Saccharomyces cerevisiae S288C: one gene and its partners. The gene in region 3 interacts genetically with the main gene of each other region. Each region holds a gene or a part of one and is shown on either strand. Other genes may lie near its edges.

The links.
Region 1: of TCA17 (region 3) and CSH1, a mutation in one rescues a mutant of the other (synthetic rescue), as found in Saccharomyces cerevisiae (one study listed by BioGRID).
Region 2: mutations in TCA17 (region 3) and TRS33 impair growth when combined (synthetic growth defect), as found in Saccharomyces cerevisiae (2 studies listed by BioGRID, with this or other methods).

What each region holds. Positions count from the first base shown.
Region 1 is NC_001134.8:559,788-563,511, forward strand, and holds CSH1 (mannosylinositol phosphorylceramide synthase catalytic subunit CSH1), read left to right. Parts: upstream 1-1,846; coding exon 1,847-2,977; downstream 2,978-3,724. Other genes in the region: cyclin-dependent serine/threonine-protein kinase CDC28, read left to right, coding at 291-1,187; TOS1 (Tos1p), read right to left, coding at 3,416-3,724. UniProt on the Saccharomyces cerevisiae protein: Involved in the synthesis of mannosyl phosphorylinositol ceramide. Catalyzes the addition of mannosyl to phosphorylinositol ceramide.
Region 2 is NC_001147.6:538,159-541,072, reverse strand, and holds TRS33 (Trs33p), read left to right. Parts: upstream 1-1,607; coding exon 1,608-2,414; downstream 2,415-2,914. Other genes in the region: DNA-directed RNA polymerase III core subunit RPO31, read left to right, coding at 1-1,310; mitochondrial HMG-box protein CIM1, read right to left, coding at 2,619-2,914.
Region 3 is NC_001137.3:63,984-67,056, reverse strand, and holds TCA17 (Tca17p), read left to right. Parts: upstream 1-1,889; coding exon 1,890-2,348; downstream 2,349-3,073. Other genes in the region: FRD1 (fumarate reductase), read left to right, coding at 260-1,672; seripauperin PAU2, read right to left, coding at 2,967-3,073. UniProt on the Saccharomyces cerevisiae protein: Required, together with the TRAPP II subunit TRS33, for TRAPP II complex assembly or stability, and for proper Golgi localization of TRAPP and the Rab GTPase YPT31.

The DNA of each region.
Region 1 (3,724 bases), on a different chromosome or scaffold from region 3:
TACAAGAAAAGCATGGCTTATGTATTATACTTGCTTATGTACCAATATATACATATATGGCCTTATTAGGGCAACAAACGCCAAAAATAAAAACGAACCTAAATGAGAAAAAAAGAGAAAAATTTGGAAAACAACAAGAACTCAAAAAAAAAAATTGGTGGAAGGACCAAGTCCTCTTGAAAGAAAATTTAATACTGCTTTTCCAGAATATCATATTGGAAAAAATATTCAAGCCAGCACATCAGCTACAGTGGAAAATAGCCCAGATCAAATAGAACTATCCTTCGAACATGAGCGGTGAATTAGCAAATTACAAAAGACTTGAGAAAGTCGGTGAAGGTACATACGGTGTTGTTTATAAAGCGTTAGACTTAAGACCTGGCCAAGGTCAAAGAGTAGTCGCATTGAAGAAAATAAGACTAGAGAGTGAAGACGAGGGTGTTCCCAGTACAGCCATCAGAGAAATCTCATTATTGAAGGAATTAAAAGACGATAATATTGTCAGATTATACGATATTGTTCACTCTGATGCACACAAGCTATATCTTGTTTTTGAGTTCCTCGATTTGGACCTGAAAAGATATATGGAGGGTATTCCAAAGGACCAACCGTTAGGAGCTGATATTGTTAAGAAGTTTATGATGCAACTTTGTAAGGGTATTGCATACTGCCACTCACACCGTATTCTGCATCGTGATTTAAAACCGCAGAACTTATTGATTAACAAAGATGGGAATCTAAAACTAGGTGATTTTGGCTTAGCGCGTGCTTTTGGTGTTCCGTTGAGAGCTTACACACATGAAATTGTTACTCTATGGTATAGAGCTCCGGAGGTATTACTGGGTGGAAAACAATATAGTACAGGTGTCGATACATGGTCCATCGGCTGTATATTTGCCGAAATGTGTAACAGGAAACCAATCTTCAGTGGCGATAGTGAGATCGATCAGATTTTCAAGATATTCAGAGTATTGGGAACGCCGAATGAAGCTATATGGCCAGATATTGTCTACTTGCCTGATTTCAAGCCAAGCTTTCCTCAATGGCGCAGAAAAGACCTATCACAAGTGGTACCAAGTCTAGATCCACGCGGTATTGATTTGTTGGACAAACTCCTCGCGTATGACCCTATTAACCGGATTAGCGCCAGAAGAGCAGCCATCCACCCCTACTTCCAAGAATCATAAGCATTATAATCTATTTCGCTATTATATTACAAATGCTACTGCACTGTCATTATAGCCTAGTAAAGTATATAGTGAATACAATATACTCAGTTTCAACATTATGATGGGTAACTCCATCAGAAAATATATTCATCGTCATATACGGAACATTCAGTTATACGCGAAAGTAAAAGTGAGAGCTTTTCAGGGGTTAAAAGCTGGGCGTGTTCCATGACGTATTTACCGAGGTCGTATTATCAAAGAAAATGAAAAAAAAAAAAAAAAAAAAAAAAGCGAAGAGGAAAAAGACAAACGAAAAACAAAACGAAATAACGCATTGTATGCTGGGGCCTCAATTGAACTTCTTTGACTATAAGGAGTTCGCTTGTTTAAAGCCGTTTCGCATCTGACTCGCCCTTGGTTTTTTTCTCTGTTCTTGTTTTTGACCTCCGCAAATTCATTGCTCTTTGAATTTTGAAGAGTTTCATTGTCACCGTTGAATAACCGAGACGGGTATTGTTTTTATTTCCTTCATTATTTACATCGCAACACGATTTTTATTAGCTTCCTCAAGGAGCGCTGACCGTATATAATATAATTTCAACAACCGAACAAGGCAGTGCGAAGCGGTGCACCTTACAACAGTGCTAAAGTAGTTACAGTAAACCAATTAATACGTGATGAAGAAGGAGTTGAAAATTCTTATAATAGCGAACATTGCATTACTTATCTCTATAATACATTACACATTTGATTTGTTGACGTTATGTATAGATGATACTTCCAAAGATGCGCTAACAGATGAACAGCTGAACCCCCCCAATGGCTTCAATTCAACATTCTATGAGTCTCCTCCTCAACTCATACCGAAAATCATTCATCAAACCTACAAAACAAACGATATCCCAGAACAGTGGGTAAAAGGGAGGCAGAAGTGCATTGATTTACATCCGGATTACACTTACATTTTATGGACGGATGAAATGTCTGATACTTTCATTAAACAGGAATACCCGTGGTTTCTTGACACCTTTAGGAGTTATGAATATCCAATTGAGAGGGCGGATGCAATACGGTATTTCATCCTTTCGCATTATGGTGGTATTTACATTGACTTGGATGATGGTTGTGAAAGAAGGCTAGACCCTTTGTTGAAAGTACCAGCATTTCTAAGGAAAACTTCGCCTACAGGAGTGTCAAATGATGTGATGGGCTCTGTTCCAAGGCACCCCTTCTTCTTGAAGGTCATCAAATCGTTGAAACACTATAAGAAAAACTGGTACATTCCATATATGACAATCATGGGCTCTACGGGCCCCTTATTCATTAGTGTGGTTTGGAAGCAATATAAGAGATGGTCTAATACGGCCGAAAATGGTGCGGTAAGAATTTTACAACCTGCAGATTATAAAATGCATAATAATTCTTTTTTCTCAATATCTAAAGGTTCCTCCTGGCATACGGGTGATGCCAATTTTATGAAAACTCTAGAGAATCACATCTTGTCTTGCGTGGTTACCGGATTCATTTTTGGCTTTTTCATATTATACGGTGAATTTACATTTTATACTTGGCTGTGCTCGGGACCATTTAACAACAAACGCTATTACATTCAGTGGTTGAGTGACAAGTTCAAGTTACACAAGTGGAAACTAACATCGTCTTACAAGAATAAGGAAAAGAGGCGGAATCCTACTCGTCACGAATATAATTCGAGGGGTAAGAGATTAAGAAAAGATTCTAATATCCCCTACGACAGCGTTTTCCTTGATATAGAAAAGAATCACGCAAAATTTACCGACTTAACCTGATTGAATTGCCACTGTTCTACCCCTATAATATTGTGAGCATGGATAAATCTCAAAAACAATGGCGTATAGATATATAACAGGTATTAAATCTTAGTATTTAAGAATTACAAGTAACATGCATTCCTATAAAAATTAAAGAGAAAAAAATTCGATTATAAAATAGTACAATGTCCAGAAGCTTGGTTTTTAATAGTATATAATAAAGATAAAGATAGATAGAGAACATAACTCTAAACTTTAAGAGTGAATTTTTTTTTTTTAGTTTAGTTTTTTTTTTTTTTTTTTTTTACAATAATGTATTGTTCTTGGAAAATAACACAATCTGTTCAAAGTGGACAGAAACCCTAAAACAAAAATAATAACGGGGAAGGAAAAAAATAGCAAGTGAAACATAAATGAAAAAAAGGAAAATTTTATTGGTTAATAAGAAACGATCGACTATGGCAAGGCCGCAGAAGAACCGGACTTGCTCAACCATTGGTCAACGACATCATCGCTTAAAGTAGCATCAAAGCTTTCGTCGACTTCGATAATGTGAATAGTTTTATCACTTGAATTAAAGATTACGGCAGCCTTTAAAGTACCATCAGTTGGTCTCTCGAAGTAATCTTGAGTACCACCATCTTGGCCGTCATGGATGTGTGAGATTAATTTATCAGAACCAGCGGTCAAAATTTCGAACAAATCCATTTCACCACAGCCAGTTTTCCAACAAGAACAAGATGCATCACCATATTGCAAGGTTCT
Region 2 (2,914 bases), on a different chromosome or scaffold from region 3:
CCAGGGGAATGTTAGGCCTATTAGAACCTCCTGCAAAAGAATTACAAGGTATTGATCCAGATGAAACCGTTCCTGATAATGTTAAAACATCTGTAAGCCAACTTTATAGAATCAGTGAAAAATCGGTGAGAAAGTTTTTAGAAATTGCTCTTTTCAAATATCGTAAGGCAAGACTGGAGCCAGGTACTGCTATTGGTGCTATTGGTGCTCAATCCATTGGTGAACCAGGTACACAAATGACATTGAAGACCTTTCATTTTGCAGGTGTGGCTTCCATGAATGTTACATTAGGTGTTCCTCGTATCAAAGAAATTATCAATGCTTCCAAGGTCATTTCTACACCTATTATAAATGCTGTATTAGTAAATGATAACGATGAAAGGGCTGCTAGGGTTGTTAAAGGTAGAGTGGAAAAGACACTGCTATCTGACGTAGCTTTCTATGTCCAAGATGTTTACAAAGACAACTTGTCTTTCATTCAAGTGCGTATTGATTTAGGTACGATTGATAAACTACAATTGGAGTTGACCATAGAAGATATCGCGGTTGCTATAACCAGGGCTTCTAAATTGAAAATACAAGCCTCTGATGTCAATATTATTGGTAAAGATCGAATTGCAATCAACGTATTCCCAGAAGGGTACAAAGCAAAATCGATATCTACATCTGCGAAAGAACCAAGTGAGAATGATGTTTTTTACCGAATGCAACAGTTACGTCGTGCGCTTCCTGATGTTGTTGTTAAAGGTTTACCTGATATTTCTCGTGCGGTTATTAATATTCGCGATGACGGCAAGAGGGAATTATTGGTTGAAGGTTACGGCCTGCGAGATGTGATGTGTACAGATGGTGTCATTGGTTCTAGAACTACAACTAACCATGTTTTAGAAGTCTTTTCCGTTTTGGGTATCGAAGCTGCAAGATATAGCATTATTAGAGAAATTAACTATACCATGAGTAATCACGGTATGAGTGTCGATCCACGTCATATCCAACTATTAGGTGATGTGATGACATATAAGGGTGAAGTGTTGGGTATTACAAGATTTGGTTTGAGTAAAATGAGGGACTCTGTTTTGCAGCTAGCCTCCTTCGAAAAGACAACTGACCATTTATTCGATGCGGCCTTTTATATGAAAAAGGACGCTGTTGAAGGTGTTTCTGAATGTATTATTTTGGGTCAAACGATGTCGATCGGTACCGGTTCCTTTAAAGTTGTTAAAGGTACTAATATATCTGAAAAGGATCTGGTTCCTAAGCGATGTCTATTTGAAAGTCTCTCAAATGAGGCAGCTTTAAAAGCGAACTAAAGTAGTCGTTTTTAAACTTTTTTATAGCATTTGTATTATTTTTCTACCACAGTCATTTAACGTATTTATACATATAAAACTACATGATAAAAACCATGAAACAAAATTTACTTATAAGAAATTTGCTTTCTTCACATTAGTAGAACCAGCGTATCGTTTTCAAAAACTCGCGTCAACGTTTTGAGACCAAAAATGCTAAATATTTTGGAATCTGGTATGCACTCACAAGCTGAGAGTGAAGACCTCATGCCATAAAAGAAAACATACACCGGTTATAAAGTTGGAAGATAAACAATTATGTCCTCTACACATAGTAATAATGTAGGACATCCCCAATCTTCTCCACAAGGTCCACTAACGGAACAACAAAGAGCACAACAGCAATATCAAATTTTTGAGAATTCATTACCAAAAGTAAGTCAATCTGTGTATCAGATGCTGTTGAACGAGATGGTTCCTCTAGCTATGGGCATTGAGAGGCAAATATCAGGCGATGTTATCAGTTCTGATAGCAATGTAACTTCCGAAAATGGTAACATCAACAATATGATAAAGAGACTGAAGATAGAGGAACATCATACAGTAGATATCATACGTTCTCATAACTTGATACATGAGCTGTATAAGGCGGATGAAGAGGAAAAAGAAAAGGTTTTAGCAAGACTGAGGAATATTGGGTTTCAAATCGGATTGAAGCTGTCAGAGTTATTGATATTTTCTAACAACCCAAATTTAAAATTCAAGGAAATGGACCTTCTATTAATAATGAAGTTCATTTGTAGGGATGTCTGGAAACAAATATTTGGTAAACAGATCGATAATTTAAAAACAAACCACAGAGGAACCTTTTACCTTCTTGATTATGACTATCGACCTATTCAATCATTTTCTTTGGAGGAAGATGCAAAAAACGAGGAGTTAAAAATGATAGAACCGTTTTTGGAGATACCTGTGGGAATTATTAGAGGCGTGTTGTCTTCCTTAGGTTATTCATCTGAAGAGGTCATTTGCTTGGCGTCTTTTATCGACAGGCCAACAGATAGGCCTAAAACAGCTTTTCCCAAGGGAGTTAGCTTCCATGTTCAAGTCACAATGCCGCAGTAAAGGTCCGACAGATTTTTGTTCTAAGAATGTACATCGACATATAGATAGATATAAGTGTGTATATAAAAGAACAGGTGACTCCGTTTTCAAAATAATACCCTTACTATAAAATCTTGACAATAATTTCTTTGATCAAGGTACATATAGTCTTTATGATAGTGAAGTGCTTTCGTGGACTCTTCTTAAAGCCCTAAAAGTCTATTGTCATTTCTTTTTTAGTAGGTACGTCATGGGAAGAATATTATTTGGTTGTGTATTTGTATCGTGATTCGCTGCTGTAAGATAGGACTCACTTCTGAGACCAAACTTTGACATGATATCCATGTTTTTTTGTAATATTTGTATCTCGTTATCCATCATTTCCTCAAATTTTGCCCTCCATACCTGTAATTTTTTTCTAATTTCTAGTTTCTGGTCATAGTCAACCTCTTCGTTCCAAGCATACCGGCATTCTTTGCACATTTGTTGAAACCTTTTCATATAATCATAAAGGTAATTTT
Region 3 (3,073 bases):
GTTCACTTTAATTCCTTTTTTGCTTTTACTACTATTGTCTTTCTTCTTTCATTTGTCATCATGCAGTGAATGACTGAAACAATAGAGACAGGTATGAAAAAGAAAATTTTTTTCTTTTCAAACGGTAACGGGGGCAACGCGTCGCGTTCCTGAACAGCTTAATCTATTGCACGTATAAAAGCTGAGAACAATACGCTGACATAGCACCCCATTTTTTTTTCTTATCTTCACTTCAACAACCCCTCATCCGTAATTGTAAATGTCTCTCTCTCCCGTTGTTGTTATTGGAACCGGTTTGGCCGGGCTGGCTGCTGCCAATGAATTGGTTAACAAGTATAACATCCCTGTAACCATCCTCGAAAAGGCTTCCTCGATCGGTGGGAACTCTATCAAGGCCTCCAGTGGTATTAACGGTGCTTGCACCGAGACTCAACGTCACTTCCACATCGAGGACTCCCCACGCTTATTTGAAGATGACACCATCAAGTCTGCTAAAGGTAAAGGTGTCCAAGAATTAATGGCTAAGTTGGCCAATGATTCTCCCCTGGCTATTGAATGGTTGAAAAACGAATTTGATTTGAAATTGGACCTATTGGCTCAATTGGGTGGCCACTCTGTGGCAAGAACTCACAGATCGTCTGGGAAGTTGCCTCCAGGTTTCGAAATTGTTTCTGCCTTATCTAACAATTTGAAGAAATTAGCTGAGACTAAACCAGAGTTAGTTAAGATTAACTTAGACAGTAAAGTCGTAGACATCCATGAAAAGGATGGCTCCATTTCTGCTGTAGTGTACGAGGACAAGAATGGCGAAAAGCACATGGTGAGTGCTAACGATGTCGTTTTTTGTTCTGGAGGGTTTGGCTTTTCTAAGGAAATGCTTAAAGAATACGCACCCGAACTGGTGAACTTGCCAACAACAAACGGGCAACAAACAACTGGTGATGGTCAAAGGCTTCTGCAGAAGTTAGGCGCTGATCTGATTGACATGGACCAAATTCAAGTTCATCCAACTGGGTTCATTGATCCAAATGACCGTAGCTCAAGCTGGAAATTCTTGGCTGCCGAATCCTTAAGAGGTCTTGGTGGTATCCTATTAAACCCTATTACCGGTAGAAGATTTGTCAACGAATTGACCACAAGAGATGTAGTCACTGCAGCTATTCAAAAGGTTTGTCCTCAAGAGGATAACAGAGCACTATTGGTTATGGGCGAAAAAATGTACACAGATTTGAAGAATAATTTAGATTTTTACATGTTCAAGAAACTTGTACAGAAATTGACATTATCTCAAGTTGTTTCTGAATATAATTTACCAATCACTGTCGCCCAATTATGCGAGGAATTGCAAACATACTCTTCCTTCACTACCAAGGCTGATCCGTTGGGACGTACCGTTATTCTCAACGAATTTGGCTCTGACGTTACTCCAGAAACTGTGGTTTTTATTGGTGAAGTAACACCGGTTGTCCATTTCACCATGGGTGGTGCTAGAATCAATGTCAAGGCTCAAGTCATTGGCAAGAACGACGAAAGGCTACTAAAAGGCCTGTACGCGGCCGGTGAAGTTTCTGGCGGTGTTCATGGCGCCAATAGGTTGGGTGGTTCAAGTTTGTTAGAATGCGTTGTCTTTGGGAGAACCGCAGCTGAATCTATTGCCAATGACCGCAAGTAACGAATTTTATAAATGAATCATTTCTAAACGATTTTTTAATAGTATATAAGTAGTATTAATATTATTATTATTTTTTTTTTTTTTTTTTTTTCACTTTCGAAGTTCTGCCGGAAGAGCTCATCGACGGCCAAGAAACATTTTACATAAAAGTTATTGAGTTGAAAATTGAGTAAATATTCTCTCCAAAAATCAAATTGTACGTTTATATCACCAAACTATGAGCTTGAGGCCTTGCTTCGTATCATTGATAGATGAATCTGATAAACCTATATTGATTTACGTCCCTAATGAGGCGGAGAATGAGATGAATGATGTACTCAAATATAACGTGCTTTCTAACATATCGTTAGATTATTTTGAAAGTGCTTTGGTTGAATGGCATTCTTTAGATTCCAAACCTCTTCTGAAGTCAATTTTTCAATTGGAAGGTGTCTCTGTATTTGCTATGTTGATTAAGCAGACGGGCCTGAAGATTGTCATTGGATTTGAACAAAAAAGCCTAAGTGGAGCTGATGATGAATTTGAAGCAATCAATCAGATTTTCGAAACCGTAAGAAAAATCTATATACGTGTCAAATGTAATCCTTTACTTGTTAGCGGTGACGAAAAGTCCATTATAAAAAGCTTGGAAAGAAAATTTGATGAGTTGTTTATTTCAACTGAAGTTGAATTATAAATGATAATTTATTAGTCGATTCTTTCACGAATGAAAGCAAAATTTAATGTCACTGCTTTGGAGTGAGAGCGATTCAGAGAAGTTATTAATGTCTAATATGTCCAACTTGGTGACAGTTTCGCCTTGCCTAATTAGCGGGGATCAGGTGCCGGTAGTATATCTCAGATGACCGTGACAATCAAACTTTCTACTTCATTCAAGTGACTGTCAATTGTCATGCTGTTCATGAATAAATAAGATACGGAGACAATTAAGGCGATCGCTTTGACTCTACTGCTAACGAAAATTGTCCGAATTGAACAGATGTGGAAGCAATCACTATACGTTACTTCATAATGAAGATATTTGTTGGCTTTCCGAGATATAGACTGATCTTTGTCACTTCATATCCGGCACGGCAATTTTTACATGGGATGGCTCGTCATAAAGATACTGCGACCTTTGGAAAGTCTGAAATAAGTGCTAGGTTATGGTTACAACGAGAATTGACAGATATGATGTGATTGTTCACGTATGTACGTATAAAGATATTTATACTACCAAAAAAAAAAAAAGGGTTTTTTTTTATTTCATTATCTAAGTTTCATAGCATTTCCTTCATTAAATTGGCGTTTGTCTCTAGTTTGCGATAGTGTAGATACCGTCCTTGGATAGAGCACTGGAAATGGCTGGCTTTAATCTGCTGGAGTACCATGGAACACCGGTGATCATTCTGGTCACTTGGT